Canis lupus familiaris: one gene and its partner. The protein of the gene in region 1 binds, or shares a complex with, the protein of each later gene. Links are inferred from orthologs where the notes say so. Each region holds a gene or a part of one and is shown on either strand. Other genes may lie near its edges. The genes, in order: BMP10 and ACVRL1.

What was found.
Region 2: the proteins of BMP10 (region 1) and ACVRL1 are in contact, whole or in part, in a crystal structure (PDB 6SF1), measured with the Homo sapiens proteins. The link is inferred for Canis lupus familiaris from reciprocal best matches to the Homo sapiens genes BMP10 and ACVRL1. Residues at the interface, in NP_055297.1 of Homo sapiens: Tyr322, Asn357, Tyr358, Pro359, Ala361, Glu362, His363, Pro366, Thr367, Lys368, Ile371, Leu375, Leu378, Lys379, Ser381, Lys386; in NP_000011.2 of Homo sapiens: His40, Val54, Val56, Arg57, Glu58, Glu59, His66, Gly70, Asn71, Leu72, His73, Glu75, Leu76, Phe84, Val85, His87.

The regions. Positions count from the first base shown.
Region 1 is NC_049231.1:69,022,347-69,026,701, reverse strand, and holds the start of BMP10 (bone morphogenetic protein 10), read left to right. Parts: upstream 1-1,530; 5' UTR 1,531-1,631; coding exon 1,632-1,965; intron 1,966-4,355. UniProt on the Homo sapiens protein: Required for maintaining the proliferative activity of embryonic cardiomyocytes by preventing premature activation of the negative cell cycle regulator CDKN1C/p57KIP and maintaining the required expression levels of cardiogenic factors such as MEF2C and NKX2-5.
Region 2 is NC_049248.1:43,566,844-43,571,116, forward strand, and holds the start of ACVRL1 (serine/threonine-protein kinase receptor R3), read left to right. Parts: upstream 1-1,350; 5' UTR 1,351-1,497; coding exon 1,498-1,549; intron 1,550-3,001; exon of another isoform or gene 3,002-3,396; coding exon 3,397-3,465; exon of another isoform or gene 3,466-3,991; coding exon 3,992-4,243; exon of another isoform or gene 4,244-4,273. UniProt on the Homo sapiens protein: Type I receptor for TGF-beta family ligands BMP9/GDF2 and BMP10 and important regulator of normal blood vessel development. On ligand binding, forms a receptor complex consisting of two type II and two type I transmembrane serine/threonine kinases.

The DNA of each region.
Region 1 (4,355 bases):
TGCAGGGAAGGAGATAGCGGAGACCCTGGAGCGGGCCCACTCGGGGTAAACGTCGGAAACTGTGGCTCCGAGCTGAGGGCACTACAGGGTGCCGAGCCCTCGGGCCGCTTCTGAGCACCGGGCCGGGCACCTGCCACCTGCAAGAAGTGCCCTGGCAGGGTCGGGGGGTGTGAGCATCCCTGGCAGCAGCCGCAGCCCGCACTCACCTGCCCGCCCTCACCTGTCCACCTTCACCTGCCCGCGCTCACCTGTCCACCCTCACCTGCCCATGCTCACCTGCCCGCCCTCACCTGCCCGCCGTGCCCCACCGCCCGGGGTAGAAATCGAGATGGGCCTGATGGGTCTTTTGCTAAACCAGGTGCACAGCCGATTGTACCGCGGTTTCCTCAGACGAAGCCACCTGGCATTTTTCATCTGCCGGGGATGTTGTTTGCTCGACTTTTACTTGGAGCCACCGACAGCTTGGATGTGGCCCTGAAGGTGGATTTGGCAGGGACGTTGCCACCCTAGTAATTCACGGCTCTGGGATGCAGCGAGCTCCCCATGCAGTGCAGGTGGCTGCCTCCTGGCTGCATGCACAGGGGTGGGGGGGTGGGGTTTGGGGGTGAGGCGGGGACCCGGCCTTCCTGCCCCTCTGTCCTGGCTCCAGGCTTGGGGAGCGCCGGTTTCGAAGTCTGATTGTTCTTCCCTTTTCGCAGGAGTCGGAACGCCCAGGTTCAAATCCTGACTCTGTCGCCTTGTAGCTCGGTGGCCTCCGGCAAGTTATGGGATCTTAGTGACCCGTCCGTGCCGTGGGCATGATAACAGGGCTGTGAGGGGGCGCACACGTGGTGATGTACGTAAGGCACTCGGCACAATGCCTGTTTATAGGAAAGCACCTGATAGATTGTAGTTGCTATTATAATTAAACACTCACCCTATTTTTCAAAAGCCACTTAAGCCAGATCAAATCTGTTATGAAAAAGGCCCTCGACCACGAGGTTTATACTTCCTTGTTTCTAAAAATGTAAACTTCTAGAAATCTGTGTGAATTCATTTAGACTAACGCGGAGATGTGGGATACTCGGCCTTTCTTCAGAAACGTTGACGTGAAGCTGGAAGCCCCATCACTTGAACTAATCCGTGGTGCCGTTGACGTGGATCGCGCTGGTTCTCGGTATCTCTTCCATGCATGTGTGAAAGCAAACCACATAAAAGCAGAACTTAGGCATTCCTGCCAAAAGGAAGTGAATTGAAAGGAAGAGAAGCAGAGCTTCCACAAGGAGAAAATTGTCCTATCTCTTAGCCAGTGTCAGAATGTGGACATGTTTATAAAATGCTCATTAAAAGAAAAAAGGATCGCAAGATAGAAACAAAATCTGGTGCACAAGTTTACACTAGAGAGATAAGAAAGGCTAGGCCCCTATAGGGGATTTTGTTATCCAATTACGGCAACCTGACTTTTGGTGGGGCGGGCGGTGGGGGGGGGGAGTGTGGAGAGGAAGGGAGGTAGGGGGAGGGAGAGAGAGGGGAAGAGTTTCCAAACTTGTCTCCAGTGACACGAGACATTAACGCTCCATCAGATAAAACTGCCACTTAGAGCCCAGGAGAGCTAAATCTTCCTGGGCTGGCCTGGGGGCTCGAGCACAGTCATGGGTTCTCTGGCCCTGCAGCTGTGCGCGGTCTTCGGCCTGGTGGCTCACTCGGTTTCTGGCAGCCCCATCATGAGCCTGGAGCAGTCGCCTCTGGAAGAAGACATGCCCCTCTTTGACGATGTCTTCTCGGAGCAAGACAGTGTCGACTTCAACACGTTGCTGCAGACCATGAAGAATGAGTTTCTCAAGACGCTGAACTTATCCGACATCCCTCCCCAGGACTCAGCCAAGGTGGACCCACCGGAGTACATGCTGGAACTCTACAACAAATTTGCGACGGATCGGACCTCCATGCCCTCGGCCAACATCATTAGGAGTTTCAAGAACGAAGGTAAGTTTACCTGTTATTGATGGAATTGGGCTCGGAATTTTTTTTTTTCTTCCCCGAGAGCAGCGTTAAGTAAATTCACAATTTGTGGGAGTAATACAGCTAAGGGTGAGTGCATCTGTGTGGGGCTGTGCATACAAAGATGCTCTAAAACAACGCATCTTTTGTTTTTATACCGTTTTCATGGTCGTTTCCCAAATGTTTTATACCGTTTTCATGGTCGTTTCCCAAATGTTATTAAAAGGTACCCAAGAGGGCAGCCCGGGTGGCTCAGCGGTTTAGCGCTGCCTTCGGCCCAGGGCGTGATCCCGGAGTCCCAGGATCGAGTCCCACGTCGGGCTCCCTGCGTGGAGCCTGCTTCTCCCTCTGCCTGTGTCTCTGCCTCTCTCTCTGTGTCTCTCATAAATAAATAAATAAAATCTTTAAAAAAATTTTAAAAAGGTACCAAAGAATGTCTTTTAACCAAAAGCTGTAAAGCATCTACCATCCTGACCTCATAACCGGGCCTTTAAAATTTTTAAATTTGAACAGCAAGAAATGCAAAAAATTAGTGCTGCTGTACTACTCTACCTTTGTCCGGCATTTTCCAGGTTTGTCTTTTAATTGGCCGAAAGATTGTCAGCTTCTCCTTAGAGTGAAAATAGGTGAAAACTAAAAAGTCCAGACTTGTGCCTCACTCAAGCTTTGATTGTATTTCCATTTTCTGACCTTATTTAAGAAGTATTCAGACAGGATGAAAACTTCTATTTCAGAGGTTCTCCCTAAAGTTTTGTTGTGTTGTGTGACGTGGACATCCTTGAATCGCTGTTTATAATGTCCAGGAAGTTTGCACGGCCCAGTTAATGATGCCCCTTACTTCAGTCTTCATGAATAGCAATGTGCAAGCCTTAAATATCAGCAGGAAAACCAGGTTAGCCCCCCTCCGCCAGCTTTTATTCAGTGACTAAACGGCCTGATGTAGCAAGTTAATCCTTTATCTAATACGGTGCCAGTAGGCAAAAATACATTTTTTTTTCCCCTAGTGTGCGTGGTAAAAGATCTGGGTCCAAAGAAGTGAATTCTTTAATATTTACCATTGTCATTGACCACATACAAAAGAGGGTTTGGGTTGATGTTGATCAGCAGTTCCTAAAAGCAGAAAGGTGCTAGCAAAGAAATGGCTTAGGGTTTGGAATTTTGAGACAGGCTTGATTCAGCAGTTGTGGATATTTTAGCTTGGTTTCTCTGAACCTCAGTTTTCTCATCCGTGAGTTGGGGGTAATAAGCGCACGTAACACAGCTGAGCGATCTCCAAGAGGGTATGGGTAGGAAAGCACTGCATTTGCTGTGAACCGGGGACACACGTTAGATATTACTCAGGAATTCCCTCAGTTCTAGGCGTCGGAGGACATGTGCAGTGGGGATGGCTCAGTCTCGGAGACACCGTTTGCCTTGACAATTTAGATAACTGGCCCAATGGTAGATAGTCAGTGACGCGTTGGGGACGTTTCCTAATAACCTTTAGCCACGTAATGGAAATGGCAAGAGTGAGATTGCAGATTCCTCTTGGGGGTGAGCCTGCGCTGGAGAGGAGTGGCCTGCCTCCACAGGAGCCCTCCTGGCGTTTCTGAGCCCCGCGCCGGGGGCCCGGCTCAGGGTGCGGGTGGGACAACGTTCGCACGCCCTGAGACAACAGGAGTTTTTCAGGTTCCGCATCTCCGGGGGAGGGTTTCGTGCCCGAGGTCAGGCAGTGCAGTTTCCGGAGCGTCTTACTCCTGGAGAGCAGCGGAAGCAGGAGCGGATTCCGCCCTGGGCGGTGGCCCCGGTGGCTCTTACGGTCTCACTTTTGGCCCCTTTGGGTCTGCACAGTGCAGCTGCCTGGGAGACAAAGACCGGCCCCGCCCGGCCCCACCCCCAAAGCCAAACCAGAAAAAAAAAAAAACCTTCCCCAAATGTAACTAGTCAGGGGGAAACAAGTGCATTTCTAAGGTAGAAAAAGCACGAGTTGAATTCCTCCTACGGCTGCCCTCGCTTTGCCATCTTGGGGAAGTCGGTCCTCGGCACTGACCCCCATTTCTTCTGGTGTAAAAATGAACACGACGGAAATGAATGGTCATTGTAGGATCTAAATAAAACAGGGCTTGCAAAACACTGGCACGTTTAAATATGTTCAACTAACATCCGTTCCCCTGCCTAGAATGCGACACCTCCATCCAGTGCTTTGTTTTTTGTTTGTTTTTGAGGATTTTATTTATTTATTCATGAGAGACCCAGAGACAGAGAGAGGGAGAGACACAGGCGGAGATAGGAGAAAGCTCCATGCGGGGAGCCCGATGGGGACTCGATCCCAGGACCCCGGGGTCACGCCCTGACGTGAAGGCAGGTGCTGAACCGCTGAGCCACCCGGGCGCCCC
Region 2 (4,273 bases), on another chromosome or scaffold:
TCCGAGCGCCCCCCTACTCTGGTTCCCCCCTTAGGACTAAGCCTACAGTGAGCAGATGATTTCTGTCTTCACATCCACACAAACCCGCATCGGGCACCCGGTGATGACAGCAGCTGTGTGCAATCTGTTACTGTCCACAAAACCCACTTGCTCTTTTTCCTCCTTTGAGGGACTCACTGAGCACCAAAGAGTTGGAGGAATAAGTATTCAAGTGAGGATTTATTACCAGCAATTTAAGTTGATCGGGACACATGTGGCGATTACAGGCAAGAAAATTAACATCCCGGGCCTCAGTTTCCCCCACTGGATTGTTGGAAGGATTAATGAGATTAACCATCAAGACTGAGTCCTTAGCACATAAGTAGTATTCAGAGAAGGTTAAATTCTTTTTCTTTTTAAATATTTAATTTATTTATTCATAAGAGATACAGAGAGAGAGAGGCAGAGACACAGGTGGGGGAGAAGCAGGCTCCATGCAGGGAGCTGGACGTGGGACTCAATCCCAGGACCCCAGGATCACGACCTGAGCCAAAGGCAGATGCTCAACCACTGAGCCCGCCAGGCGCCCCCAGAGAAGGTTAATTCTTATTATTAAAGATTTCACAGTAGTAAGTTAACATTTGAAATTCCGTTTGGCATTTGTGATTTCTGGCCAAGGACAGTGATGCTTCTTTTTTTTTCAAAGATTTTATTTATTATTTATGCATGATAGACATAGAGAGAGAGAGAGAGAGAGAGAGGCAGAGACACAGGCAGAGGGAGAAGCAGGCTCCATGCTGGGAGCCCGATGCGGGACTCGATCCCGGGACCCCAGGATCACACTCTGGGCCAAGGGCAGGCACTGAACCACTGAGCCACCCAGGGATCCTGGCAGTGAGGCTTCTGTCAGCAGGAGATCTTTCAGGAAGTTTTGCTTAGAAGTGAAGGGATGCCACCCAGGCCTCTGTGCTGGAGTCGGGTGTCTGGGCGAATCATTCAGGGACGCTCTGAGTTTGGACTAGTCAGGACTCAGCAGCCTCCTGTACTTGACTTTGTGCTGGGCCCGTTTAAAAGCTGGAGAGTCACAATTTTCCTCCCATTTTCCCAAGATTAGACCAGAGTCGGATTCTGCAAATCCTGTCTGGCCTCCCAGCGTGGTGGCCCAGTCTAGGGAAGCTTGAGAGCAAAGCCGTCACACCGGCCCCCCTGCAGGGTCTCCAGGTCCCTGGCTTCCAGGTTTAGCCCGTCTGTCCCTTCTCTGCCCACGGAGGTGGGGTGTTGGGGGGGGTGCAGAGGTGCCCAGGTAGGAGGGAGAGTCTCTGCCCTCTGCTCCCCTCACCCAACAGGTCCCTGCACATTTCACTGGACCAGACTTAGCACCGTGTAGGACACATTTCTCAAGCGGTGGGACCCTTGCAAACTGATGAGAATTACCTGGAGAACTTTTTAAAAGGCATGATTCTTGCTGGTCCCAGGTGGACTGAAATGAGAATTTGGAAGGAGGGGTGAGACCAAAGAATGTGCATGTTTAACCAAGTGCTTCAGGGGCTCCTGATGCATTATGAAGTAGGTAAGAGGGTACACTGGGGTACGGTCGGAGAGGTGGAAGCGTGGGTAGAGGATCTGAAAAGGATGCCCGCTTCCATCCTTACTGTTAGCCACCCTTTCCTTCCTGCCCCGTGCTTTCTCCTGGCTTCCACAGATGGCTTCCCGCCTACCCCCGGGGGCAAATCCGCCTTGCCTGGGGCTCCTTCCCCAGCCACCCGCCCCCCTGCTAAGTGTCTGCGGAGTACTCACCGCCTGCCTGCCGGGAGGGGCAAGAGGCAGGAGGTCAAGCAGAGGCTGGGGACACAGCTGCAGCAGCCCAGGGCTCCGTTTCCTCCCCCGGCCCTGGGCCTCTGGGGCAGAGGAAGCCCAGGCAGGAAGGCCAGAGCTGCCACCAGCCAGGGAGGCCCGTGAACGCCACCCCCCAACAACCATCCTGCCCTCAGAGCCGCAGCCCCGTGGATCTCCATTTGGTACCATTCTTAGACTGTGGGTCTGCTGCAGCGCCGGGGCCGCCAGCCAGCCCTCCTGGGCTCACGGTTAGGCCAGAAGACGCTCCCCCTCCCTCACGAGAGCCGCCCCTGCCTGGGGATCGGGGCCCAGGGACACACCTGCACGCTCCCCACCATTCAGAAAGTCCTTGCTGCAGCATCAGACCTTATCTTCTTGTTTGAAACCTTTGAGAAATGAAGAAGGATGTGGCTTCTGGAGCACTAGCCGGCTTGGGACCTGGGTTGGGGACTATCACAGATCAGAATTACTTCCCTAACACTCTCCGCCAAACTTCTGGAAAAGTTCAACCTTAGCCAGCCATGGAAGGTCAAACAGTGTTTAATTCTCTTTCAGTTCCCCTCCCGCATCCCCGGCCCTCCCCCAGCCCTTCCCAGGTCAGCAAGGAGGGAGAAGGAAGGGGGCCGGGAATGGCTGGCAGGGGGCCTCTTGCACTCTGCTGAGGCCTAGAGGGGTCTCCTCATGCCTGGCACGAGCCAGCGCTGTTCAGGGTTTGTATGGTCGTTACAACCTGAGGGCTCAGACCCAGTGCTCCCGGGATTGGGGGGCAGACTGGAGAAAGCCCTGGCCTGGCAGTCGGGACACCTGGGGCGTACTCCTGGTACTGCCACCGAATCCTGTCTGACCTCAGACGAGTCTCCTGCCCTGTCTAAGCCTTGATCTCCATCTTCTCTAGAATAAGGGGTTGGCCTTTGTGGTTCCCAAGGTGTCCCCCTAGAATTCTCTCATGGGGTGTCGCAGCCCCAGGTGGCTCCCCCAGAGCCTGCAGCGCCCCTGCCTGCCCTGAGAGTACACGCTGAGCTCTCTGCTGTGCGTGACTCCTGCCCGTTCTATCCGGACCCCGATCTAAACAATCTTGATTCCTGTTCCCAGCTTGGCGGGACCCTGAATGGCAGGAAGTGAAGACAGGAGCCTGTTTATGTTTGAGGCAGCCAGTGCTAGGGGTGGGGGGACTGGGGGAGGGGGCGCGGGGAGGGGGGTGGGCAAGAGCCGGAGGACACAGGGTGCGGGGGGACTGCTGAAGACAAGTGCCTTCCACCCCGGCCCGTGCCCTCTGTGTCCTCCAGTCTGAACCCAGGAGCAGGGGTAAATAGCTGGGAGTCCCCCAAGCTCTCTGTCACTCAAACATGGCTCCCCCACCCTTTACCCCTTACAGGATGGTTTCCATGGGGAAGTGAACCAGGACTTCCCCTGCAGGCCCCGCCCCAAAGCCAGACACAGGGAGTAGGGAGGAGGCCTCCCTGCCCCCCCCCCAAAACTCCCAGTGATTTCCTCTGGGTGGGAGGAACCCACAGTCGGTGGCTAAAAACACCAAGGGGAACACATTTCACGGATCTTACGGTAACCCCCTCTCCTCTCCAGGGACCATGACCTTGGACCTGCCCAGGAGAGGCCTTCTGATGCTACTGATGGCCTGGGGCCTGACCCAGGGTAAGTACTAGGGAAGCAGGTGGGGGACACGGACCTGGATGGAGGAAGGGCTGGCTGGGGTCAGCTCTTGCTGGGGCTGAATTTGAGGAGCTGGGGAGGTACTCAGGAGCTTGGCTGGAGAGTGGGAGGCAGGCTCAGCTGCCCCAGCCCTCAATGTTCTGATCTGAACCCACAGACTGGTGCCCTACTGGCCTCCAGGGTAGGAACCTGTATCTGGGGGGTGCAGAGAATGGGGATGTTGGCAGGGAGGGCCTAGGAGAGCCCTCAGGGTTGGGGCAGGGGCCAGGGCCGGGCCTAGAACCAGGAGGGAAGGTCCTCGGATCTGGGACAGGACGAAGCCTGGTTCTCATCATCGTATCAGAGGCTAAGGTTCTGGAAGGAAGGATCATCCGAGGCTGGGACTAAAGGCCCACGGCCTCAGGGGTATGTTTGAGAGGTCAGAGGGAAGGGCAATGGGTCAGACATCGGTGTTGGGCCCCGCCCAGGAGTTCGGCCCACAGCGCTGAGCTTCCAGTGTGTCTCCCAGGCAACCCGGTGAAGCCCTCTCGGGGCCCGCTGCTGACCTGCACGTGTGAGAGCCCACACTGCAGGGGGCCTACCTGCCAGGGGACCTGGTGCACGGTGGTGCTGGTGCGGGAGGAGGGCCGACACCCCCAGGAGCATCGGGGCTGCGGGAACCTGAACGAGGAGCTGTGCCGGGGGCGCCCCACCGAGTTCGTGAACCACTACTGCTGCTACAGCCCCCTCTGCAACCACAACGTGTCCCTGGTGCTGGAGGGTACGTGCAAGTCCCCGCAGGCCCTCCCCA